Rattus norvegicus: one gene and its partners. The protein of the gene in region 1 interacts with the protein of each later gene in a pairwise test. Links are inferred from orthologs where the notes say so. Each region holds a gene or a part of one and is shown on either strand. Other genes may lie near its edges.

Region 1 (3,500 bases):
CAGCTAGTTCCTGCCTACTCAGTGTTTACTCTCTGATCTCTACCCTTGGGAGCTGTAAACCCCAGAGCAGGTTATCAGAAGACTGGGTTTGGATTCTGTGTTTGCCTCTGTGTGTATGTGTGTATGGGCATGGGTATATGTTGCTGGATGGAACTTAGGGCCTTTTGAATGCTAGGCAAGGATTCCACTGAGCTACATTCCCAACCCAATTAATGCCATTGCCTCTGCCATTAAGAGGTCATTACAATAGCTTGTAGAATCTTGGTACCATTCCATGACATGAGACTTACGTATGTAAGAGTATTTTTATAAGGGACTGGAGAGATGGCTCATCAAGTAAGAGCACTGAGTGTTCTTCCAGAGGACCCGGGTACAATTCCCAGCACCTACATGGCAGATCACAACTGCCTGTAACTCCCAAGATCTAACTAACACCCTCACACAGACATACATGCAGGCAAAACACCAGTGTACATTAAAAAAAAAGTCTTTTATAAAAATAGCATCGGAAGGAACCAGGCATAAACTGTTACACTGTGTAGAATACTTGCCTAACTTGCACAGGGCCCTAGGCCTGGTCTCCAGGACTGTATAAACCAGGTATGGTGGCATACACTTGAAATCCTGGTGCTTTTAGAGGTTCAGACAGCAAGATCAGATGTTCAAAGTCATCCTCATTCACAGAATGTGTTAGCACCCAGCCGGGGCTACTTGAGACTCTGCATACAAAACACCAAGCCAAAAACTCACTAAACTGGAGAGCTGGAGTAGAGGCTGTGAGTGTGGGGCAAACGGCTTTGATTTCTTTCTGTTCTCTTTTCCACAGCTGAGAGAGTATCAGCAGAAGAACAGCCCGGGTGTCCCTGCAGGAGCAAAGAAGAAGAAAAAGATTAAAAATGGCCATAGTCCAGAGAGAACCTCTGCCAGTGATTGTCAGTCAGCAGAGAATGTGAGTCTTGGCCAGCAGATTCCTGAGGAATGGGGTGGGGGGAGAAGGGAGAAGGCTGTGGTTCAGGTAATGTCAGGTGCTGCTAAAATTTCTGGTTTGAGGGCTGGAGCCTAGTTCAGTGGTGATGGACTAGGGCTCGCTTGCCTTGCAAGGGACCCTGGATTTTATCTCAGCACAGAAAAATAAAATCTGAGTGTGGATTCTGTCTCTCCATTGTACGATAAGTCTTAGGGCAAGTGGTTTAAAGTCTTCAGACGTCTTTTTACATATCTGTACAATAGCAACAATGTTTTAATGTGTAAGTTTATTGTGATTGTTTTCGGGTTAACTCCCCTAGTGGAGGGTCTGCTGTGGAGTTAACAGTGAGCCAACAATAGGTACTGCTTGGGTTTCTTGGTTTGGGGTAGAAACCAGAGGGAACATCATTGTTCTCAGGCTTCTGAAAAGAGCCATTAGGAAGAGATCTGTGTGTTCAGTCCATCGTTGTCATGAGCTTGCTGGGTTGCCTCAGGAAAGTCCCCACACACACTCAGTTCCTTCATCTGACAGGATGATGGTGTATTGGCTTATTGTCTTACAGATTCTCTTTAGCTGTACCTTATAGTGTACAAGTGAAGTCTTATTTGGGAGTCTGGTTTTAAGGTGGACATGGGACTGGGGCCTTTGCAGATTGCTCCATGCAATCCTGGGTCTGTGGAACAGGTCTGGTGTATGTTGAGTCGCTGCCTTGATCAGGTGTAGTCACTGCATCCCCTGGGGACTCTTGCTCACTCTGAGGGCTGCCTCTGACAAGGCAGCAGCTGGCTGCTTGGAAGGTTGGCACAGGCCTGGGTGCTGATCTGTGCTCCTGAGTATTCCATCTCCCTGACTGTTTCTCTTCTTGCCCTGACTTGCTTCCCTGTCCCTCCCTCCCCTCTCTTTCTCATCTCTTTTCTTCCCACCTGCATCCCATCTTACCCCCCTCCCCTTTTCCCTTCTCGCCTGCTGTAGATTCAGGACATTCTGAAGGTGTTGGTGTCCGACCTTAACCGTTCCAATGGGGTCTCGCTCCCCCCATTAGACAAGAGGAAGGTGAGGCAGTGCCGAGACTCCCTCTGGCTTGCTCTTCCAGCCATGCATGCCACAGAGGCCTCCCTGCTGTGGGGGACCCTCTGCCACTGGCTTACTGTGTGTTGCCTCAGTTAACCATCAGCCCCTATGTCTGCTTTTTCAACTGCTCGCTTGATTGGGTTTTTTCCTTTCCCTTTATCATTTCTCATTTAGAGAATATGAGACCCACCTTGAAAGTTAAAGCTAATTGGGGAAACAGCTTTTGGTTCAGATGAGTGAGACTAGAGTTTATGAATGCCTGGCAGGGCACTGTCAGACTGGGACAGATGGGACACAAACACACCTTCAGATCTTGCCCTCTGGGCATCCGTCTCTAAAAAGCTAGACCATTGAAGTTTGTGCTTCTTTTTTATGAACTCATTTTGATTTGAAACAGGAACATGAGGTTATGAGAAAGTAAATTTATAGTATAGTTTCTGGGATTAAGACTTTTTTTTTTTCTTTTTTTTTTTTTTTTTCGGAGCTGGGGACCAAACCCAGGGCCTTGCGCTTCCTAGGTAAGCGCTCTACCACTGAGCTAAATCCCCAGCCCCGATTAAGACTTTTTTAAGAAACCCTCAACAGGGGTTGGGGATTTAGCAAGCGCAAGGCCCTGGGTTCGGTCCCCAGCTCCGAAAAAAGAAAAGAAAAAAAAAAAAAAGAAACCCTCAACAGGCAGTGGTGGCACATGTCTGTATTCCCCAATACTCTGAAGGCATAGAGGCAGGCAGATCTCTGAGTCTAGGAGGGCGTGGCCATGTCTGGTCTACAAAGTGAGTTCTAGGATGTCCAGGGCTACACAGAGAAACCCTGTCTTGAAAAGCAAAATGAGGGGTTGGGGATTTAGCTCAGTGGTAGAGCTCTTGCCTAGGAAGCGCAAGGCCCTGGGTTCGGTCCCCAGCTCCGGAAAAAAAGAATTAAAAAAAAAAAAAAAAGAAAGAAAGAAAAGCAAAATGAAAAGAAACTGTGAAAGTGTAAAGTTAACTGACAAATAAGTGAGTGACCAGGAGAAGCTGTTCTCAGTCTCTCTGAAAACTCAGTGGGTTCCTGATAGGAAGGGCACTTCCTAAACAGTGGCAGAAGTAGATGCGCAGTCCAGGTGCAGTAGAACGTGCCTATGAGCCCAGCACTGCGGACACTGAGACGAGGATGGGAAGCCCATCCTACACAGTGAGAGCCCGTCCGGAACCAATACCAATACCAGACTAAATGCACAGGACAAGAGTTACGCGGCCTCCAGGATGTCTAATGTAGCCACAGGAAAGTTGGTTCCCAGTGGACTCAAGGCTGGAGAAGGGGCGTTTGCAGCTACTTTGACAATGAAAGATGGGTCATGATCATACACACGGAGAGCTGAGGAGCAGAGAGCTGACAGGCGGAAGGGCACTTTTCAGAGACTCAGCATCCACGTGTGACAGGACCTGTGTTCACAGGGCTTAGAGCTGGCTTCCTGGATATAACC
Region 2 (4,138 bases), on another chromosome or scaffold:
TGGTGATAATTACCCACTGGTCACTTCTTTGTTCTGTAATATATTTCAAACTGCATCATGAGCCCTCTAGGGTAAATTCCTTTTTCCTTTATGTCTAATCACCAGTAAACCTAATACAATACTTCTCACAAATTCGTCAGGTTATGACTGTAATGACAGACATGTGTCTTCAAGTACCCTTGAAGGTAATAAAACATGCCAGGAGACCCATGATTCAAAGATAATATCTGCATTTTGTAGAAGATGACTTAACAGTAATTGTTCAGAATGCCGTTTTAGGTGAGGCGTTCTGCTAAATGCTAGAAAGGCAACTATTGTAGGTAGCTACTGAAATATGTATTTATGAATATATCATTGGTAAAGAGCCAAAAAAAACCCAGAGTATGACTCATCATAAATGTTCTCTAACTGTCCTTGCATTATTGGGTGGTTTTAATAATGTATAAATAAAAGGAATTGCTATTTAGATTCTTCTCAAAGGCATTACAAAACCCTCAATTAGCAAAGATTTACATTCTAATAAATTAATTATCGTTTACCTTCCTGCCAATAGGGTGAGGAATTACTTTTAAGTAAACAATTGGACAGAAGAAGATTTTACTATCTTTAAAGGGTACAGCAAATTCTCTTATTAAATGCTTTTTTCCCCTGACCCTGAATTATCTTGGAAGTTCATCTCTGAGTAAGATCACAAACGGAAGAGTCTGTAACGGTTCTCAAGAGTGGTTGAACCAGGAGTCTTAGAAATCATAAAGACGTTTTCATCTCACAGATGAAGCACAAGTTTATTTTTTTAAAGAGTTTCTTATATAATGTATATGAGTACACTGTAGCTGTTTCAGACACAATAGAAGAGGGCATCAGATCCCATTACAGATGGTTGTGAGCCACCATGCCGTTGCTGGGATTTGAACTCAGGACCTCTGGAAGAGCAGGTACTACTCTTAACCTCTGAGCCACCTCTCCATCCCAAAGCACAAGTTTAAAAAACAAAGCAACACTTTCAATCGAAGGAGGCAGATTGAAAAGGAAAGGAAAATGTCTTCATGGAATTCTAAACAGTCGCTGACCTTTAACACCTCTCTGAAAGCTGGTCTTATCGCTTCTCTACATCACAAAAGACAACTTATATACAAGCAAGAGAGGTGGGTAGGTACCCTTGTTTTCTCTGTGGATCAGTGGAATCACAGTGTCAGACCCAGGAATGCAAACCAAAAAAAACAAAACAAACAACTAAAAAAACAACCAAAACAAACAAACAAAACAAACCAACCCACTTTTTTTTTTTTTTTTTTGAGATCACAGAGATCTGCCTGCCTCTGCCTCCAGAGGGCTGGGATTAAAGTCTTGTTCTATCACAATCTGGCTGGAAGTCAAAATTTTGAATGTTGAACATTCTACACATGTAGGCTGACTTCTCTTTGAATGGATATTAGCTGAGTGAGGGGAAGCCATATTTGTGAAGTTCCTTAATGGAGTTCTTTATTTCACAAGCAAAGTACTTGCTAAGAGATATAAAAATGCTTGCCTACAAGATTTCCAATTGATCATGTGATTTTTTAAAAACTGGAAATACGCTTTAAATGCGATTTAATCTCAACTATCCAAGGAATTCGGTTTCATTTATCTTCTTTTTCTGTAAGGCCAGTGGGCTTTATACAATCTTTCAAGTTCCCCAGTAAACATCCAGAACTAGACTATTTACTTAAGACTGACTCTCTCCATTTAGAAAAGTACTTTCTTCTGTCACACACCAGAACGTTATGAACCCATCAATGAAATAAAGGAAAGGTTGCAGACAACCCTCCGTATTATCTTTTTCACAGCAAAGCGCCAAAGATGACGAACTTCAAAAAGCAACTTCACCCTTTAAACACAAACACACACCCTTAGTTGTGTCAGTGACTCTGATGTTGCATTTAGTTGTTTTCCAAGACCTACTCCCGAGGGTCATGGCCCAGAATTTTCTGATGACCACACTCGGTGCTGTCAGATGTTCAAACCATTACCGCATGCATCTCGCTGTAAACCGTTCTGAGGCAGCTCTGACTGTAACCTCGGCTGGAAATCTGCTTGCTGAAAACTAAAGATTTTTCACAGACTTAGGAACCCCACTTGGCATATTTCCCGGGCCCGAAAGAGCCTTGGTCAAGGCTGGAGAGGAGGTGCTAGGAGGAAGGTGGTTGAGTAAGGGTGTGTGTGCGCAGCGAGCGAAGTCGAGTTTGGGGAGAAGGCAACGGTGGAGCCAAAGGGACCCAAACGCCAAGAGAAGCAGACAGAGCTGGGGAAGACCGGCGACCCTGGTTCGGACAGGAAAGAAGACAGAAAGGGGGCGCAGGAAATCCGCACTAAATAAAGAAGAAACTGCGGAGGAGGAAGTCGCCCCTGGAAGGGGAGGAGCGAAGGGGAAGCGAGCACCGAGCACTAGCACTTTCGAGAGCCTGTGGCGCGTTCCTCCCTACCTGAATCGCTCCTGCCCCGCCGTGTCCCAAAGCTGCAGCTTGATCCTCTTGCCTGGCTCAATCTCCAGGAGGCGCGAGAAGAAGTCCACGCCGACTGTGGGGTCGCAGGCCGGGGAGCGCAGCCCTGGGAAGCGGCCTTGGGTGAAGCGGTGCAGAAGGCACGACTTGCCTACCGTGGAGTCACCGATCACGATGAGGCGGAACTGGTAGATCCAAATAGCCTCCATCGCTTACGTGCCCAGTGCGCTCAGGAGCAAGTTCTGCCGAAGGAACTGTCCCTTCAGCACCTACGAGGCGCGCGCCCGCCGGCTTCCAGCATCTTCCTGCGGCTGCGGCCGCCGCCTGGTAGCCGCCCTCTGGGGAGGGAGGGGCGGGACCGCGGGCAAGGGGCGTGGACTTGTTCTGCTTGGGGCGGGGCTTGGGTGTGAGGGCGGGGCCACGAGTTGGAGAGACCGCCGGTAGGGGTGTGATGATGGGCCCCAACTGTAAGGAGCTGGAGCTGACGTCTTAGGAGCGGGTCACTGGTCATACGGGGGCGGGGCCCCTAACTAGAGACGGTAGCTTCGGCCTAGGGGATGGGGAAACTAGGAGAACTAGGACAACCGCAGCGTATTCCAGTCCGGATCTTGCAGGAAGTGGACCAGGAAGTGGGTGTGGCGAAAGAACATGACGGCAATGGCAACCAATGAAAATGTACTTAAGGGTTAAACGCCAGAAAGGTCAGCCAATGGGAAGGGAGAGTCATCTTTCACGCATCTACGAAAGTTCCGCAGACTAAGACCCTGATCTTGGAAGTTGGTCAGGCGCTGAACAGGCTTCTATATGGGGATTCATGGTGTTCGGGTTCTCAGAAGATTCCAGTTGGCAGTTTCCTCTGAAGAAAACAGATTTGCAGAACTAGTTCTGATAGTTTCTGTGAAGGACTGCCTGTGGCTGTTTTCCATAACATTTTCAGCATTAGAGAAGAGAATTCTAGCCCTATGCTTTGTGGGGCCCTCCGGCCTAAGAAAAACTTAAAATGTTGAGAAGCTAGTACAAGTCATCGCTATTCTCGGTCTTAGCTGCTCTCTGCTTGCATATGACCAATGATCTAATAAACAAAACGAAATTTAAATTTTGGTGAGACCTTACTGTGTTCTCATCTCTTCCCTCAAATTTGATAAGGAAGAAGAGAATTTCTCTTCTGGACTGGGATGTAGCTCAGTTAGTAGAGTTGCCTAGGAACATGAAGACCTGGGTTCAGTTCCCAACTCCATACAAGCCAAATATGGGGGCCCATGGTTATAATTCCACCTCGTGGGGCACGAGGATCAGAAGTTTAAGTTTATCCTCAGCTACAGAGTTACAGAACGATTTAGCTTTTAAAAGTCAAATCAAAGTTCGACAACTTTAAGGTGTGCATTTATAAAACCAACGTTTGTGATAAGAGCTGTATAGCTCAGTGCTAGCACTCTTCCCAGCTTGCATGAAACCCTAGGTTTGATCTTCAATACTGAAAATTTTTTGCCAACCATTTCATTTTTTTCTTGCAACATCTATCACACTCATCCTTACTTCCTTTCTTTGTTTTAGAAGAAGAAGTATGACTTTCAGAGAAGTATTCTTTTTCTGTTATGCATCTTTACCACCCCCCCCATTAGTTGATCTTTATTTTATGTGGTATGTATCTGACTGTC
Region 3 (3,500 bases), on another chromosome or scaffold:
CGAGCATTACTCAATTGGCCCTTAGGGCAAGAACTATGTTTTATATGATATATTTATATACTCTACATTATTTTGTGACTTAGAATAATCTGCGTCTTCTACCATTTTGCAAAAATAAATAAATCAAATCTGCATGTTCTCCACCATGAGTCTTTTTCTGACAAGCCCTTTGAGTGCAACTGTGTGTCCAATTCACTACAGTCAAAGAACTTCGACTCAGTCCTACAGGTACATCATACTGTGCTTTACCTGTTCTGGGTTTCTTGAGTACTTAGGCCTGAGTCCCATTTTTCGTGAGGTTCATGTAGTCATGTAATATATAAGCATCTCCTATACAATTCATGACAGATGTGCCTGACACTTCTCATTCTCTCTGGTCCTAGGCCAACTATGTCAATAAATTTTACCAACATTTCTTCATTTACAAAATGAACTACAACAGATTTTATACTTTTCTTTAGCTGTGACTGTAACAAACTGCCTGCTGCTAGCATTTGCATGTCTTAGGCACAAGCACCCTGAGACAAAGCTACAGGCTGTCATCAGTCAAAAAACTACTTCAACTCACTTGAAACCCTCATCGTTCTCCCACAGTGTTCATATGAAATCCCTTCTTAGTTCTCAAATTCTATTGACTCAATTCTTGCATATGTCTTACTCAAGATAATGTAACTTGAAAAGACTGAGTTGATTATAGAGATCTGTATGTCACAATCAGGAATGCGGAGAGTTAGTGAGCAAAGAGATTCCTACTAAGTGTCTTTTTGTTTGATGGAAGGGTTCACAGATTCCAGAAGCTTCAGGTCTGTAGGCCTATATGCCCAACAAAGAAAGATATTCTAAAATGCTTCACCATGTTATTTTTATTATTATTTTAAATAAACATCAATTATTTCCACTTCTTGAAATAATAGTTTACTCAGACTATAGACTTAAATCAGAGTAAAGATCACCTGAACCGAAATTAAGAATAAAAGTCTCCCCAATCCCTTAATGACCACACAGAACTAATGAATCACAACTATTTAATACAGAGTTCTATGCCAAAGAACTATCAATTACTACTATTCTAAGGTGTTGTTACTTTTTAAGAAAAAAAAAAAGATGCTGGTGCTGTCCAAGTCGCAAGAGAAAATAATAGTTAAATATGTAAAATAAAGATTTGGTTCACTTTAAGTAACATGCAGTTGTGTAAATTTTTGTACTTCAAATGATGCATAAGAAAAATTATACAACAAATGGTTCAAGCCCTCTGATTCAACTCTTGCCTCTGCACAGAGCCAGTACTCAGAGTACTGGTCACTCTTTTGGCACATAAACCTTTCTCTACGTCTGATACTCACTAAGTTCTTTAAAGAACCCCAGCAACATCATCCTGTGTATCTAAACACACATCCCTCCTTTAATACTGAGACTACAGACTCAGCTCATCTTTCCTCATACGGTCTATAAAATGCCTCATCCATAAAGATTATTCTGAGAGGTGTTAGTCATGAAACCCACAAGATCAAAATGGATTTGTATCCTGTAACTGTCAAAAATTCAAGAAAATCAGTATGACTTCTAAATAAGTGCTATTTCAAATTAATGAATTATTTTACACAGGATTCCATTATTAGAAATCATTGGGGTTGGGGATTTAGCTCAGTGGTAGAGCGCTTGCCTAGCAAGCACAAGGCCCTGGGTTCGGTCCCCAGCTCCAAAAAAAAAAAAAAAAGGAAAAAAAAAAAAAAAAAGAAATCATTAAGGTGGGTGACTGAACATCTAAAACAGTCTTTAGGACTACTAGCTAGGCTTACCGTAATACCAAAATAATTAGAACAAAATACAGGAACTGCCAGGAAATATATCCAAGAATATTTACGAAGAATATGCTACAATAAATTTATCCCTATAATACTGACTTTTAAAATTCAAGACATGACAGTGATTAAAAATAAAACTAGTCAGGGTTGGGGATTTAGCTCAGTGGTAGAGCACTTGCCTAGCAAGCGCATGGCCCTGGGTTTGGTCCCCAGCTCCGAAAAAGAAAAAAAAGGAAAAAAAAAATAGTCTTGTTATAAGCCTTAGATTTATGATTCTTCCTTATAACAACCCTCACCCATTCTCTCCTTTTTATAGTGTTGTATGTGTGTGTATAAGAGAGAAAGAAAAAGAACAGAAGAGAGAGAATGAAAGACAGTGCTGAATCCCTTGGAACTGGGGATACAGACATCTGTAAGCTTCACGACTGCCTGCTCTAATAGAGAAGTAATTGTCAACAGCCATCACCAACCATTTACCCTCTCTTAACCATTTCGTAACTTTTTTTAAAAACAGAAAAAGGATACCATATCACTTCCAAATCAGTATCACCTATAACCAGAGGAGCTATGAAGGGAACCATCTCCTTTGAATCTTAGCTCTAGATCCTTTACCTTCCAAATATAGACCATTTACACACACTAAAATCTCAGTGTTAGTCTTCAGCACTTAGAAAATGCAACAAAAGAAGTCTGATGTGTACTTCTCTATGAACTGCTTGGCAGATCCATTTCCCACAAAACTGAAATATAACCACAATCCTAAAGTGGCTGTGTGCAGGACTCAATGTCTAATACAATTTCAAAATACTTTGGTAGCAAATTTTTTACAAAAGTTGCTTCAATAAATTAAAAAGTAGCAGAAGGAATTACATTTTTCTACTCTCTAAAAGTTCTACGAGTAAAATGAGTGTGGCTGTTACAATAATTAAATATTAAAGGTCAGATTAGCTAAGAGTAAATGTCAACAAGAGGTCATATAATAAGGTGGTCTAAAGATTCTATCTAAGAAGAGGGTACCATAGCTCCTTTAATAAAATAATAACATACCTTGTCATCCCCCGGGCACCGATATAAATTCTGGAAAGTGCTAATGATGTTATTACTAAATCTGGGTGCAAACACATCCTTTTCTTGACCAAACTGATGCCGGGATTGTCGCACAATGGAGTCAATAACATACAGTCCGGGTACCTTGTATTCTGGTTTACACTGATGAGAGAAAAGTGAGAGGGAAGGAATAGAAAGGTAAAATCCTTGAAAGAAAAGACATTATAAACTCCACTTAAGCAAAAACACTGCTCAGGCTGTAATTAATATGCAGACTCTGCCTAGTTCTTAACCATTCGATTTGAAATAGCATCTACTCTGAACAGAATCTACTTTCACCACTCAATGCATTCAGGTCAACTGTTGCTCACCCAAGTTCCAAACCAGCACTGTATAACTGACCTCAATGACTAAAAACAACCTGATAGACATTATTTTGAAAAATCACTTAAAGAATTTAAAAAACTAGAACAATAGAAGAAAAAAATCAAGAAACGGTTAGAAAACACTTTGCAGGTGTGGATTAGACTCCACTGCTCACACTTCTGTAGCAATAAAAGAACAAATAAAACAACCATTATAACATGCTAAATATAACCAGCCGAACATTTATGATTGTCTCAAATACCTCATCTATAAAGGAGACAT
Region 4 (3,354 bases), on another chromosome or scaffold:
AGGGCTAAGGAATTCCATTATTTCAGAATAAGAAAGATGATCAAATTTAAGGACTTCTGGCTTTGGAAGCTTCAACCATGGTCATTGCATAAAGGAAAGTTCGAGGAAATATCAGGTTCAGGTTACCTCCTCTCAATCTACATTTTTTATTTATGAACACCAATATGCTGCCTCTCATTTATGAAAGAATGTTAGATATTATCCAAAAGAATTGCATTTGAAAGATATTGGGAAAGATTTGGACGTGCGCCCAACATGGAATTAGTCATTTGCTAATGACGTAATGCAAGACGTGGAAGATTTCTTATAAACATGAAGATGTAACAGCAGTAAGCAGGGGGAAAGGGCACTGGGAGTGCATGAAAAATACACTATCATAAAATGTGTATTAATAAACATGTTGATCATTTCCCACTAGATTCTTAAGGGAATTTCTAAATGAAATCAAAGTGACCTAATAGAAATGCAGAGCCCAAATCCATAGTTATTAAAATAATTGTAAGCCAACAAACTAAGAATCCAACGATGAATGAATACATATAAATAATTTTATATATCTGTTTTGTTCATGTGGGACCTGGGGTTTAAACTCAGGTTCATGCTTGAACTGCAACAGCTCTTGCCCACTGAACCAAGTCCCATTTTAATTAAAATTTTAGACGCACATCAATTATGTTATATGAATCTACTTCTAAAACATTAAATTCTCACATGGATTGATTTCCAGTGTCTGTAACTATACTTTGCATTCTTCCTTGTTTGATACTGCTCAGATTTGTAACGATTTATCTCTATTAATAATTTCTCAACATTCTGATATTAGACAACACATCATCATCATCATCATCATCATCATCAGGTATGACTTTCCAAGAAAAGGTTATTTTTGTCTCTCCTATTCTTTTGTGGAAAACTCAAATTCAAGAATTAGTCTTCTTCCTCCAGGACCTTCACACTTAACTCAGTGTGTCGGAACTTAACTTCACCATCTCAGCTATATCTTTCTCCTTCAACTTGTTTCTTTCCCCACTATCACCCATCTCTGTCCCATACAGGAGACCAGGAGATCCTTTTCATAATACTAGTGGTACCCTCCCTTAGACCCCAGTGGTTGGGCTTTGCTACTTCGCTCCTATCCAGCCCTACCACCCTTCTGGCTTCCCACTACGCATGCGCAATATAGCGTCTGCCCCGCCCGGCCCGCTGCTGCGGAAGGCGCAGTGCTCAGTAAAGCGCACTTCCTCTGCTAGTATCCACTGAGGCAGTGCAGGCTCCGAGAGCTCCGAGTCGCAGCGGTCCTGCTCTGATCAAAAGACGCAGAATGTCGGAACAAAGTAAGGACCTGAGCGACCCTAACTTTGCCGCTGAGGACCCCGACACTGAGATGCAGGTCAGCGATGCTGTTCCGGTGGGGGTCCCTCCTCCCGCTCCTCTGGCCGCGAACCTCTCAGGGCCATCGTGCGCTCCGGAAGGCCCTATGGCAGCCCCACAGGCCTCGCCACCACCTGCAGAACGGTTTGAAGAGGTTGACCCTAAGATCCTGCAGCAGGCCGCAGAAGAGGGCCGCGCCCACCAGCCCCAGAGCCCAGCCCGGCCGATCCCAGCACCGCCGGCCCCTGCCCAGCTGGTGCAGAAGGCGCACGAGCTCATGTGGTACGTGTTGGTCAAGGACCAGAAGAGGATGGTCCTCTGGTTTCCAGACATGGTGAAAGAGGTCATGGGCAGCTACAAGAAGTGGTGCAGAAGCATCCTCAGGCGCACCAGCGTCATCCTCGCCAGAGTTTTCGGGCTGCACCTGAGGCTGACCAATCTCCACACCATGGAGTTCGCCCTGGTCAAAGCACTCAGCCCAGAAGAGCTGGACAGAGTCGCGCTGAACAACCGTATGCCCATGACAGGTCTCCTGCTCATGATCCTGAGTCTCATCTATGTGAAGGGCCGCGGGGCCAGAGAGGGTGCGGTCTGGAATGTGCTGCGCATCCTGGGGCTGAGGCCCTGGAAGAAGCACTCCACCTTCGGAGATGTGAGAAAGATTATCACCGAGGAGTTCGTCCAGCAGAATTACCTGAAGTACCAGCGTGTGCCCCACATCGAGCCTCCCGAGTACGAGTTCTTCTGGGGCCCCAGAGCTAACCGTGAAATCACCAAGATGCAGATCATGGAGTTCCTGGCCAGAGTCTTTAAGAAGGATCCCCAGGCTTGGCCTTCCCGCTACAGAGAGGCTCTGGAGCAGGCCAGAGCTCTGCGGGAGGCTAATCTTGTCGCCCAGGCCCCCCGCAGCAGTGTCTCTGAGGACTAAAATGTCCAGGAGCACATTGATAGTTTCTGACCCATACTAGGGCTGTGTAAGGGTGGGGTTGGACATTAGAGTATCCCAGATTCATAGTGCAGTATTTCATGTATAGTTTTTAAGTTTTCCATCCAGTGCTTTTTTTATCTTGTAATGCAATGTATTCAGTTGTGTACTCGTGTAGTGTTTAAAATTGATGCATGTGTGTTTTATAAGTGAGCAAGTTGGTACTTTCACTTCTGTGCTTTCTTGGATTTTTGTACAAGAGATGTGCTGTGCTAAACTTGTGAAATACATTGAGGTGTTCTGTATCTTGTTCTTTGAATGGGACTGATGGTCCGTATCGACAAAGAAGGCCCTGGAGAGTTAGCAGGACTTAACAACAACACAGACCTGACCAAGAGAAAGGTCAGGGTCCCTCTCCATATGACTCCAACTGGCACAGGAAACATCCATGTGGAATGGACTGATTTGAACTGGACTGTTTTCAGTTTAAGCACTTAGCACACTTTGCAAAACATGTATCCAACCCCACCATAAATAAACTTTAAAATGAGCATTAAATATACCGTGAAATAATTTCTTTGTTTGGGGGGGAGGCATTTATTTTGGTGAAAGGGGGAATGGGAGTGGGTAGGGATGAGAAAGATTCTCCCCGTGTACAACATGAGCAAGTATACTTCTAACAGAGTGGGAAAACACCACTCATAACCACTCAGAAGTTTTTTGAAAATTGTGGTGCTTCAAGAAATTGGTCACATTAAAGGCGTGATAACAAAAAAAGGCATGTTCACATAACGTGGGAATAATAACAGGAATTATGTAGGGACTGTCCCTTTTCTGTTTTGTTTTGTTTTGTTTTTTTGTTTTAAATAGTCTTTGGTGGGCACTTTAACAGAATGAAATATTGCTACTAAACCCTCGTTGTGCATTTTCTTCTTTATTTTATCCTCCCACCAGCCATAAGAAGTAAGGAATGACTGTATCAGCACAAAGCAAGAAAAATGAAAGGATGCTGGTAATGAAATACCCTAAAAATCATAGACCTTATACTGGAGTCTTGA
Region 5 (3,708 bases), on another chromosome or scaffold:
TCCTTTTAATCCAACTTTACCTTTGAGAATAAAACAAGCAAGGTTTTGTCATCAAAACTAATATGAAAATATTAAAATACGAATTTCCAGGTTTACAGAGTGGGATAATACCTATTCAAGGCAAGGTAGGCATCATGGTCACATTATTTTCCAAAAGCAACCAGGCAAAAGAAGTGGAAATAGAAACCATAGAGGTAGAGACTGTGCCATGAAAATGTTTACATACCGTCCATAATCTTTTAATGCATTTGTAGAAGATGCTTGTGAGTTAAAATACCTATTTTTAAACTCTTCCTTTATTTTTAGGCACTTGTCAGGCTGTATTTGGACAAGGCCACTCTAATCTGGAATGGAAATGTTGTTACAGGGCTGGAAGCCCTTGCTAATTTTTTTGAGATGTTGCCTTCCAGTGAATTCCAGATCAATATGTTAGATTGCCAACCAGTTCATGGTAAGATCATGATCTTTCAAAGAATCTCCTTCATTTTCTGTTAGTAAACACTGAGGTTTACACCCCAAGCAACAGTAACCTTCAATAGTGGGTATGGTTACTTATTTGAACAAGTTAAGTGTCACAAAAAAACAAGTTATATAGTCAGGATTTGGGTCTTGTTTTCACTCCAGAAACCACCATTAATTTTGGGAGATTGTGATTTTTTGTTATCTAAAAGGAGAATGGCTACAGAAAAAATTAAATATCATATCATAGATTAATGTGTCTGAGTGTTTGTTAAAATTTCAGAGAACTGTATTCTATGGAAGAATGACTTGTGATAGAATTTGATTCCCAGTGGATTGATGCAGTTCACCTCTAGATGGGGAATTCACTATCTTAAGTAGTTGTTTATAATGATATCTCCCCTTATAGTTCCTGAAGAATGGCTTTAGAGATAAACTATGAATGATGTTAGATATCTAATGAAATATTAACATGTACAGGGAGCATATAGTCATGTTGGATTTATGATCTCTGTTTTTTTTTGAAACTTGAGAGAACCCTGCAAATCTTTCTAGACTGAAAAGAATCATCTTAATACTTTTTAAAATATTCATCTATTGACTTTGATATGCTTCTTAAAATACAGAGCGTTCATGAAAAAAACTTTTAACATTGCAGCACAAGCTTAGATGTGTAATGTGACCTATTCCTCTTGCTTATATTGCTAAAGAGCAAGCTACCCAGTACCAGACTACAGTGCTCGTCGTGACCAGTGGAGTGGTGAAGTTTGATGGAAACAAACAACACTTCTTTAACCAGAACTTCCTGTTGACTGCGCAGAGCACTCCTAACAGCACGGTGTGGAAGATTGCAAGTGATTGCTTCCGTTTTCAAGATTGGGCTAGTATTTAAAGGAGCAAAAGCCCGTTCGATTGGTCCATTAGTTCCAGCAAGAGAAGTTTAATGTGAATTAATAGATTTCGTTGCAAAAGTACTATAAACTTAAGTGTATGTGCTAAAACTAAATGTATGTAATATTTTTTTATTCCTAGCAGCACCTTTGCTAGATTAGCTGCCAGTTTGGATTATTGCCCTTAAAAGCTTTAAAGATAGTTTTTTACATGCCTTATGCATACATTCCACTACTGATACTCTCAAGGTAATATTAAACATGATCTAGGTACTAAGATACTCACTGTGAACCCAATCTCTTGCACAAATGGAGTCCTTTTTTGTAATACTGTCTATGGAATAGCACAAGATAGCTCTGTAGGAGGAAATAGTGGTTTTTCAGTTATTAGGGTAATTTCTCAATGAAGCACATGCCTGTTTACGATGAACAATGGTACTAAAGTTTTAATATATAAGTATAGATATTTGAAGTCAGTTCAATTTAATTTTATGCTAGTGTTCTGTCATATTTCAATTGCATATAAGTGTATAATAGTCCTGCTGTTTTCTGACATTGACATGTTTCCTTTTGAAATGAAGTAATCAACTAGATGGGCGAAAAATGGTCTTGATGGATACTTGGGTATTGGGTACATTTAGTGGCAGTAGCAACTCAGAGAAACATTTTCTTGGAAGCTTCAAGTCAATATATTTATGTGATAAATGGGAGTGAGAATAAAAGCCTTAATGGGAGAGTATGGAATGAGAAATACAGAAATCTAAGACTGAAGCCAACAAACGAGAGAGGTGGCCATACTCGTGTCCTACCTCCTGCAAGTGTAGCCGAGTTTCAGGGTTGTATCCCAAAAGTGTCTAAGAATCCTTGCCAAATGGTCCTAAAAACTGGATTTTAAGATCCTTTTACTCCCCTTCATACTTATCTCCAGTGTCCACCCTAGTTTGTGAATTCATAGGATTAAGATATCAGCAGTAAACTTCGTCTCAGAGTCTGAAAGGTAGGAAGGAGGCTACCGCTCAATCCGTGTGGACCCCGAACTCCAAAGTCTTCCGTGTAGGCCTCGAGCCCACAGCCTCCTGGGTCTTACCCGCCACGCACAGGAATGATTTTCTTCTCTGGTGTTTGCACTGTCAACTGTATTACCTACTTTTTAAAATTAAATCTATGATCTTATGATTTATTTCTGTATGGCACTGGATTAGAAATAATATTAAAATATTTCTGCTTATGGTTAAAAAAAACAAATCAAGGAAAAGATCTTCATGATAAACTTCAAAGGAACAAACTCATTAACTTTATGTCTTAGATTCTAAAGACAAAAAAAGTTTTTAGTTTTTAGTTAAATTTTAAATTTTACAATTTTTTGCAGTTTTTAAATATTTTAAGCTAACATGCTATCTTTGTTCTGTGGTATGATCAAAATTAAATTATCACTCAATTTTAAAACTAGTAATTTACTTTGGTCCAGAAATGCACTTTTAATTATTGTATTATTTAAATGAAGTAGAAGGGGATAGAACTGATATTTAAAACTATGGTTTATTTCAGTTCTTATCAAAACATACGCATTCTAGACTATTCAGAGTGGGCTTGCTCTTATTTTGAATTTTTTCCATTAACTACATCTTTAGTGGAAACAATTAAAATGTCCAATCGCTGCCCTTTCTATTGGTGGAGAACAATCTCAAAACTGTGTATAATTAGCAATAACAGAATTGAACCATTGTGAATTGCTTTATCCATACACTGTATAATTCCGTAATGTGTATGACTTTAAATGGCTGGAACTGCTCATATGTGGACTAAACTATTTTTGACATGTTCATATTTTTATAACTTAAAAAATAAAAATGCATTTTCACAAGTTTTCTCGTCTTTCTTAAGGTTTTTTGCTTTTGTATTTAAGGCCCCAGAATGGGAACTGGTTCATTATAAGGCTTCTTTTTTAAAAATAGTTTTATTATTTCATTAATTTACATTTCAAATGTTATCCCCTTTCCAAGTTCCCCCACCAACAACCCCCCTATCCCATCCTCCCTCCTCCATGCTTCTATAAGAGTGCATGTTCATGAAATTTTCCCATGTGCTGATGTGTTCAAGATTCTTCCCCACTTTTTCTTCTGTTAGTTTGAGTGTATCTGGTTTTGTGTGTAGATCCTTGATCCACTTGAACTTAAGCTTTGTATAGGGTGATAAAAATGGGTCAATTTGCATTCTTCTACATGCTGACCTCCAGTTGAACCAGCACCATTTATTGAAAATGCTATCTTTTTTTCCATTGGATGGTTTTAGCTCCTTTGATCAAGTGACCATAGGCGTGTGGGTTCATTTCTGGGTCTTCTATTCTATTCTACTGATC
Region 6 (3,500 bases), on another chromosome or scaffold:
GGCATGACTAGTAGCAGAGGCAGGCTTTGCAAACAAGGGCCTTGTCTCATTTTCTTTGCTCAGCGGATAAAGTGTGCAGCTCTCCAGGCAGGCACACCTCCCACCATACAGTAACAAGACAATGTGCCTCTGCTGTCGGAGTGAACAAGCACTTAGAAAGACCTGGGGGAAGGAGTACACATGAAACAAAACATCCAGGACTGTCCCTGCAGATTCAATTCTACATAGAGCAACTATTGGTTTGGTTTTTTTTCTCACACTCCCTCAGTGACAATTATAGTTGTAGGCTCTCATAAAATCATAATTGCCAGTTGAGCTCCCAAACTAGCTGATTCAGGTTAATAAGACAAACTAGACGCATCTAGCCTCTACAGGTAATATCACCAGATGCTCACGGAAAGTGTGAAATCTTACTGGAAATAGCATTTGATACCGCAGACTACTGGTGGATTACATAAAGGTAAAATGGAGAACAGTGTGTCAGAGTAAGAAAGGCAGACATTATACACATGGGACTTGTGTGCAAGCATGTGTGCACACATGTGTGTGTGTGAGATTATAAGATTCCGAGAAAAACATGAAAATGCAAAATAAAACAAGAAACCAGTTTGGGGAAGGAATATGCATTGTAAGAAAGACATAGCAAGAGAAAGCAATAGGATAATATTACCTCGACATGATGTCTCGGAGCTTTCCATAGAATCTAACTTTAAAGCATCAAATACTTCAAAATCAGATTTCTTGACATGGATCAAATTATTAATTGTGCCAAGCTGACTGGTAACCACAGGCTGAAACAGTGAAGAAATATAAACAAACAAATAAACAAACAAATAAATAAATGAAATAAAATTGGATTCCCTTTTAAATCTATATCATCACCCAAGTGCCCCTCTACTTTTATGACAAGTCCCTAGTAGGAAGCCTGTTGCCCACTGAACTGGAGGGTAGTGAGTCACAAGGAAGCCACTGAGGCTCCGTTGCAAATCCAGGCCTTACCTCTGATGGATCATGAACCCACTGTCCATCCACAAAGAACTTGTACTGGTGCTCTCCCTCGGGAAGATCCAGGATGGCAACAAAGTCATTATGACTAGAGAAGAAAACAGAAGGTCAAATAGGCCAAGTTCCTTAAGAAGACAGAGTGTGAAAAAGTAAGAGGAAATGATGGGGCTACTACAATGGCCTCCTAAGGCTTCCTAAGCTACAGTCCTTGTGCTCACCTCACCCCACGGTACAAATCCATTCTCTGCCTCTGTATCAGTCAACACATGTGCTTGTCAACCTCTCCCACTAACTCTGTTCTCCATCACGTGTGTGTGTGTGTGTGTGTGTGTGTGTGTGTGTGTGTGTGTGTGTGTGTTGGGGGCGGGGAGGGGAGTGATTGCCAAAATGTTTAGATTTCTTAGAGCTAGGGAGTTGTGCTCAGCCACTATGAGTGCTTGTTGTAAGCTTCAGGGCCTGAGTGTGAATCCATGGAAAAAGCTGGGCATGGGTACACACACACACACACCCCTCTGTAACTCTAGCACTGGGGGAGGGGGCGGGGGCAGGGCAGAGACAGGCAGACCCCAATCAACTGCTGACCAGTAAAACTAGTTGAAATGGAGATATTGTGGTTCAGTGAGATTGTCTCAAGGCAACAAGGCTGAAAGCCACAGAGGAAGATTCTTGGGGCTTACTGTGGCCTTCACATGCACACATATGGGTACACATGTCTGCATGTACATGCATGCACATGTACACACATACACACAAACACACGTTACACACAAAGCAGTATTCACAAATATGATTAACATAAAAGATAGGTTTGGGTTGGGAATATTTCAGGGTACCCTTTCCATAGTTTGGTGAGTCTTTTCTGGAAAATGACCCCATTATGTAGAGGGTCACTCTGACAACCACTTACATCATTCACTACTGTGTTGTCAGCGATAACTGGCATTATACCTAGAATGTCACAATGTATTTTACTTTAATACAGAAATCAAAGCAACAGGATTAGTGATTTCCAGGCTTCCTCCAGACAGGAAATGGCTTGAGAAGCACGGTCCTGAATGGCACACACACAGTGCTGTTAGAAACTCCTGAGGCCCTCTCTCTTCTTAAAAGGCAATCGGGCTGGAGAGATGGCTCAGCGGTTAAGAGTGCTGACTGCTCTTCCAGAGGTCCTGAGTTCAATTCCCAGCAACCATATGGTGGCTCACAGCCATAATGGGACCCGATGCCCTCTTCTAGTGTGTCTGAAGACAGCTACAGTGTACTCACATAAATTAAATAAATTATAAAAAAAAAAAAGGCAATTAGGTGCCGATTCCTGCATGCTGCAGACTCAACAGAATGCCTGTCCTCACCTCTTAATCAGAGGGATCTTGGTGCTCCAATTGTTGAAAGACCCAGAGATGAAGACCTCCTTGCCCCCTTCAGACCAGCGGATAACAGTAGGCCGGGCCTGCTGGGTGGGCTTCACAGAATCATCCAAATCCTGCTGCCAGGGTACAAACTCTTTGTCCCCAGGGAGCTGTAAGAAGGAGTAGGTCATCCCTAGAATAAATTATGACCCAAGGGTTTTTAAGATGTCCCAAAGGTTTTTAAGGGGCATTAAATTAGGCTTCAACTAAAGTGAGACAGCCCAAATTCAGCAACTAAATCAGAGAATGAACAAACTATAGAAAAGAACTATGGCTCACATCAGTCTCCTCAGAGAGCCTTTGGATCACCCAAAACCCTTCCTTCAGACTACCAGTTCAGCTTGTATGCAGGCAATTAGGATATGCTCCTGAACACCTCATAAGGAACTAGAAGAAAGTATGGTTCTTTAAAAGAAAATTAAGCCAGCTACATGTTTTTCAGAGGCAAACAGTTCTCTGGCAGTTACAATTAAAGTTAGAGATACCAAAATTCCTAAGTAACTAACAATGCTGTTTAGCTACTTGGTTGTACAATAGGGCATTAAAATTTAAAGGGTTGGAGATGTAGTTCAGTGCAGAGCACTTTCCTACCGAGTCTGAGGCCCTGAGTTTCATCTCTAGCACCATCATCCATCAATCGACATGAATTCGGAAACCACATCACTGACCCGGTAGAGCTGAAGTGGTTATGAAACCTTACTTGCTTACTTAGGCCAGGTTCATAAAATCACCTCAGGACGATACATGACATCCTGGAGCTCTAGGAGCACAAGATCAAAAGCAGCTTCCTTGAGCAAAAGCAGTTCCATTACTTAATGGGATTTATAGGGTTCCGAGGCCATCCTTCAGGACAGGCGTGGGCCAACCGCAGCCGTGAGCCAGACTGCTTTTACAAAGCTTCCGTTTGGAAGCAGCCATGCACGTGTGTACCTGTCATCTACAGCTCACTGCCACCATGCAGACCTGGGAGATTATGACCCTAAATTATGTGTATTAGTTGGCCTTTTACAGAAAAGGTTTACTCACCCCTCCTATGGAATGGCTTCACTGGCTGGTAAATAAGACTGCATGGTACCAGGTCAAGCA
Region 7 (4,037 bases), on another chromosome or scaffold:
CTTTGGGGTCTACCCAGAAGTGTACACTACCAGCATAATAGCTTTTACAATCAGAACAACTTGCTATATTGTAGCAACCCTAATTTCTACTGTCTGCCAGCATGTGCACACAGGCTCTATAAAATTGCTGGCTACTGGAGCTCTTAGCAGACAGCAGATACATTCAAATTTACAAGTTTGTTCTTCCAACTTCTTGGTCACTTGTATGCTTGTAAGGCAGCCTCAAGGACAGGATTCTGGTCCCTAGACCCAGTGCCCTCAGGTATACTGAATGGTGAGGTGTGGGGGGGAGGGGTAGGCTCCCAGCATAACCTGTCCTCAGTGAGATAATACACTCTACTTTTAAAATACATTTACTTAAGTACAAAGTGGGCTGATACAAAAAAAAGTAGAAGTAATCAGTAACACACACCCCAAAACCTCAAGGGCCTGGACTATGGCGGCAGACAGTCTCCTGGGCAATTGTGGGTGGGTGGGGAGACAAGGGGAGAGCATTACCCTCATAGAACCACTAGGCTCTCTGGTAACCCAGGGCCCACTCTGACCCGGAGTGGTTGCCTCCAATTGGCAGGATAGATCCTAAGATCCAGCAAGCATGGCTCAGGATGCTATTAGGGAGCAGCCCTGCCTTATCCCAGATAGGGATGAGATAGTTAGCAAGTAGGAGTGGGCTGGTAGCCACTTGGCATCAGTGATAGACCCCACAGAGCTCAGAGTTGGGCAGAGCAGCCAGGCCTCTGGTGTCCTTTGGTGTAGCCACATTCTCAGTCATCAGAACTTCTGTCTTGTCGTCTGTGGGATGGGTTCCTTCCACTGTCCTGGCTATGTTCCCGCTTCCTCTTATAGCAGGGAGAGAAGTCAGAATGTCTCTGGCGTCTGGGCCTAGGAAGACAGGGACACTTGAAGGGTCCATCACCCTGCTAAGCATCACTCAAGCCCTGGCCAGCTTTGCGCCCCACCCCCTTCCTTAGTGACCCAGATAGAGTTGGGCCTAGCCTACCGGGCAGGAGAGGGAGAAGATGAGCAGCTGTCAGCCTCCCTCTTGTGTTCTTTGTCTTTCTTCTTTTTGTGTTTCTTATGTTTCTTCTTCTTTTTCTTCTTTTCTTTCTTGCTTTTCTTATGGCTCTCTGCACTGCAAGAAACAATACAAAGGGTCTAAGCCTGAAGAACTAGAGTCACTCCACTGTGGGGTAGTCTCACCCAGTAGGGAAAGACAGAATAGGGCAGGGTCCATACCTTAGCATTGCACACTGGTCGTTTCTACACATTGTGAGTTTATATTTGTAAATGAGCTTAATATTTGGCTCCACAGCAGCAAGGGTGAATGCTGGCATGCTACCAACCTGGTGGGCCTTCTCTCTGTCTCTCTCTGCAGCCTTGTCAAGCTCGGAACTCACTATTTTACCTACATACAAAGCTGACATGGCACAAAAGTAGAAGTAACCTGACACACATACAGTTAAATCCCAAGGCCTGGAACCAGCTTATGAGAGATCAGCCTGCTTCTGTCTACCAGAAAGAAAGATGTGTGCCACTACCAAAGCCAACTTATACTTTTAACTACTACACCCCCCACCAAACTGGCTAGCATCATGGTCCTGAGTGTCACCCTCCTGTTTGTACCCATTATCCTGCTGGATTGCCTGTGGCAGCTACTGAGACTCAGCCGGGAGATGGAGGCCCACCTACTTCAGTAAACTAAGAGACCTAAGGCAGTGCTTTGCCCCTTTATGCGTGCACAGGAAGTCAGACTCAACTTACTCCAGTTCAGCCTTGTCTTCAGCACGGGGCTTCTTCCTGGTAGCAGATGGGGCAGTACTTGGGCCTTCGCTGTCCACACGGTGGTGCTGTATAAGAGTAGCTGTGGTGAGGGACACTCCGGGAATCCTGCCCCACATCTCAGACACCCCCAAACCCCAAGATCCTGGGCATTAGGGTTGACAGGGTTTACCGTGAACACTGACAGCCCAAGTTTGGCAGCCTCTTTGTCTTCTCGGGATAGTGCCACACGGCCCGCGGAGCCACTGCAGGGGACAGAGCATTTGAGGACAGTTCTGAATCACCGCCCAGTCCTGCCCTAGACTCCCCAACTGGCCGCACCTGGCGCTGCCCAGACCCAGCAGCCGGTCCACACCCTTCTCCTCAGGATCTCCTCCTTCCCGTTTGCAGATCTCCACGAAGTCCTGCGGAAGACAGGAGGTTCTAGGCCGGGACAGACGGACCCCCAGCCACCCTGCGAACCTTGAACCCCTATCTCAGACTCACCTCCTTGCTCAGGCCGGTGGGCTGTTTCCTCACGTTCTTGTAACCACTGCGAACGAGGGGCGGGAATGCTCAGCAAAGGTCTAGTCCCTCCTTTGCCTTCCTCGTGTGCCCCGCCCACATCCAACCCCGCCCCCAGGGTCACCCAGACCCCGCCCCCGGCGCGTGCGGTCGCCCCGCAGCCCAAGCACTTACAGTGCGGCCAGCAGCGCCTCACGCTCCGCCTCACGCACGGCTGCCAATTCTTCTTCACGGCTCGGGCCGGTACACGGCGCGCGGTCCTTCGCGTACCAGGTGAGGTCGCGGCCCTTCTGCCAGCGGCCTACTGGTGCCATCAGCGAGTTGCCCAGGTAGTTCTCCCTCTGCTTGTCAGTCTTCACATCTTCCCAATTGAACTGGTCTTGCCCGCCACGCACGCCGCCGCGACTGGAGCCGAACATGGTGCTGGAGCCGCTGCACCTTCTTCAGTATCTACGGTCTGGAGTCGGACTCCCCGCAGCACTCGGCCTCCGGACGCTCGCCGTGACGTCACTCTCCCGCCCCCCGCGCGCGCCTGCGCTCTAACTAACGTTCCTGTGCGCCTGCGCACTGCGTATCCCGGACCGACTCCATCTTTCCAAAGGGCGTTCATTGCTTCACCCACAGGCACATCCTTCGTCCTATTGCGCAGTACCTCTTCAAAAAGGCAACCGTGCTATCACACCTGATAACGCTTGTGTTAGGCATCTCCGTGGAGTGGGACACCACAACACCTTAGTGACACCAGGAGGGGCTGTCCGCTTGTTTCCTGGAAAGCCAAGCGTGCTAACTCCAAAGGCCTGAGGTCCAGGTCACTGTTGAAACTAAGTTAAGTAATGGCAAAACTTCACCGAACACTGAGGAGCAGATAAAGTCGCCAAAGGAACATAGATCAACTCTTCCGTGCTCTGAGTGACAGCGTGCATGGCATTACAGTAAGCTAAATACCACAAGTCGAAGCATCCCTAAACCAGAGCGATCTGTGTACTCCGCAGGTGAAGCTTTACCCGGCAGTTCACTGAGGCCTTGCCTCAAAATGAACAGAAACGGATTTAATGATAGATCACTCGCCTAACATGTAGAAGGTTTTGGGTTCCATCCCTAGTCTGATAAATTACCCAACCTGGAACACTCTAGCATCCCAAATAGACCAAGACAATCTCATTTTTGTTTTCATTCTGAACACAAGTTGGGTACCTGTCAGCAGCCTGTGAGGCTCCTGGTATAAGCCCTGAGATCAAGTCCTGGTTTTAGAGGAAATATCTGGATTCAGATCCCTCAGAACAAGATCATACTAGGGATGAATGGATGGTCCCAAGGGGAGCTGCACAATACATATCCTTTATTTGCCTAATGTAATTGTCATCTCCAAAGCTTACTGCCTTTGTCTGCTAACCTAGGCCTAGTCCTGGAAGCTTCTAGCCTCTGTACAATCTTGCTTTGATTGGCAGAGCTTACAACCCTTGACCATGTAGCTTCAAATGCTCTTCCCAAGCTTGGAGTGAGTGATGAGAGCCAGACAGCTGAGTTTGTGGCTGGGGTCCTTTGGCATCTTGGGCTTGATGGCCTGAGGCTTGGCAGGGGCCTTTTTTTTTTTTTTTGGTTCTTTTTTTTCCCGGAGCTGGGGACCGAACCCAGGGCCTTGCGCTTCCTAGGTAAGCGCTCTACCACTGAGCTAAATCCCCAGCCCCGGCAGGGGCCTTAATGGCCTCTGAGCATGCACTCTCTGCCTCTGCATTGTTGGCCTGCATTTTCAG

Evidence for each region.
Region 2: the proteins of Golga2 (region 1) and Rab39a interact in binary tests that used the Homo sapiens proteins (3 or more experiments, as listed by UniProt). The two-hybrid records come from large-scale screens. The link is inferred for Rattus norvegicus from reciprocal best matches to the Homo sapiens genes GOLGA2 and RAB39A.
Region 3: the proteins of Golga2 (region 1) and Scaf8 interact in binary tests that used the Homo sapiens proteins (3 or more experiments, as listed by UniProt). The two-hybrid records come from large-scale screens. The link is inferred for Rattus norvegicus from reciprocal best matches to the Homo sapiens genes GOLGA2 and SCAF8.
Region 4: the proteins of Golga2 (region 1) and Ndn interact in a two-hybrid assay, tested with the Homo sapiens proteins (2 studies listed by BioGRID and IntAct). The link is inferred for Rattus norvegicus from reciprocal best matches to the Homo sapiens genes GOLGA2 and NDN.
Region 5: the proteins of Golga2 (region 1) and Nxt2 interact in binary tests that used the Homo sapiens proteins (3 or more experiments, as listed by UniProt). The two-hybrid records come from large-scale screens. The link is inferred for Rattus norvegicus from reciprocal best matches to the Homo sapiens genes GOLGA2 and NXT2.
Region 6: the proteins of Golga2 (region 1) and Prkab2 interact in binary tests that used the Homo sapiens proteins (3 or more experiments, as listed by UniProt). The link is inferred for Rattus norvegicus from reciprocal best matches to the Homo sapiens genes GOLGA2 and PRKAB2.
Region 7: the proteins of Golga2 (region 1) and C10h1orf35 interact in binary tests that used the Homo sapiens proteins (3 or more experiments, as listed by UniProt). The two-hybrid records come from large-scale screens. The link is inferred for Rattus norvegicus from reciprocal best matches to the Homo sapiens genes GOLGA2 and C1orf35.

Annotation. Positions count from the first base shown.
Region 1 is NC_086021.1:35,984,783-35,988,282, forward strand, and holds part of Golga2 (golgin subfamily A member 2), read left to right. Parts: intron 1-826; coding exon 827-949; intron 950-1,939; coding exon of another isoform or gene 1,940-2,020; intron 2,021-3,500. UniProt on the Homo sapiens protein: Peripheral membrane component of the cis-Golgi stack that acts as a membrane skeleton that maintains the structure of the Golgi apparatus, and as a vesicle thether that facilitates vesicle fusion to the Golgi membrane.
Region 2 is NC_086026.1:62,999,254-63,003,391, forward strand, and holds the start of Rab39a (ras-related protein Rab-39A), read right to left. Parts: upstream 2,801-4,138; 5' UTR 2,690-2,800; coding exon 2,463-2,689; intron 1-2,462. UniProt on the Homo sapiens protein: The small GTPases Rab are key regulators of intracellular membrane trafficking, from the formation of transport vesicles to their fusion with membranes.
Region 3 is NC_086019.1:46,170,972-46,174,471, reverse strand, and holds part of Scaf8 (SR-related and CTD-associated factor 8), read right to left. Parts: intron 3,015-3,500; coding exon 2,853-3,014; intron 1-2,852. UniProt on the Homo sapiens protein: Anti-terminator protein required to prevent early mRNA termination during transcription. Together with SCAF4, acts by suppressing the use of early, alternative poly(A) sites, thereby preventing the accumulation of non-functional truncated proteins.
Region 4 is NC_086019.1:125,259,805-125,263,158, forward strand, and holds Ndn (necdin), read left to right. Parts: upstream 1-1,254; 5' UTR 1,255-1,321; coding exon 1,322-2,299; 3' UTR 2,300-2,854; downstream 2,855-3,354. UniProt on the Homo sapiens protein: Growth suppressor that facilitates the entry of the cell into cell cycle arrest.
Region 5 is NC_086039.1:110,656,526-110,660,233, forward strand, and holds the end of Nxt2 (NTF2-related export protein 2), read left to right. Parts: intron 1-306; coding exon 307-451; intron 452-1,169; coding exon 1,170-1,351; 3' UTR 1,352-3,208; downstream 3,209-3,708. UniProt on the Homo sapiens protein: Regulator of protein export for NES-containing proteins. Also plays a role in mRNA nuclear export.
Region 6 is NC_086020.1:187,949,009-187,952,508, reverse strand, and holds part of Prkab2 (5'-AMP-activated protein kinase subunit beta-2), read right to left. Parts: intron 2,548-3,500; exon of another isoform or gene 2,546-2,547; coding exon of another isoform or gene 2,525-2,545; coding exon 2,358-2,524; intron 1,094-2,357; coding exon 1,000-1,093; intron 792-999; coding exon 671-791; intron 1-670. UniProt on the Homo sapiens protein: Non-catalytic subunit of AMP-activated protein kinase (AMPK), an energy sensor protein kinase that plays a key role in regulating cellular energy metabolism.
Region 7 is NC_086028.1:44,493,148-44,497,184, reverse strand, and holds C10h1orf35 (multiple myeloma tumor-associated protein 2 homolog), read right to left. Parts: upstream 2,801-4,037; 5' UTR 2,703-2,800; coding exon 2,458-2,702; intron 2,312-2,457; coding exon 2,266-2,311; intron 2,184-2,265; coding exon 2,101-2,183; intron 2,025-2,100; coding exon 1,952-2,024; intron 1,848-1,951; coding exon 1,762-1,847; intron 1,133-1,761; coding exon 1,001-1,132; intron 883-1,000; coding exon 765-882; 3' UTR 338-764; downstream 1-337.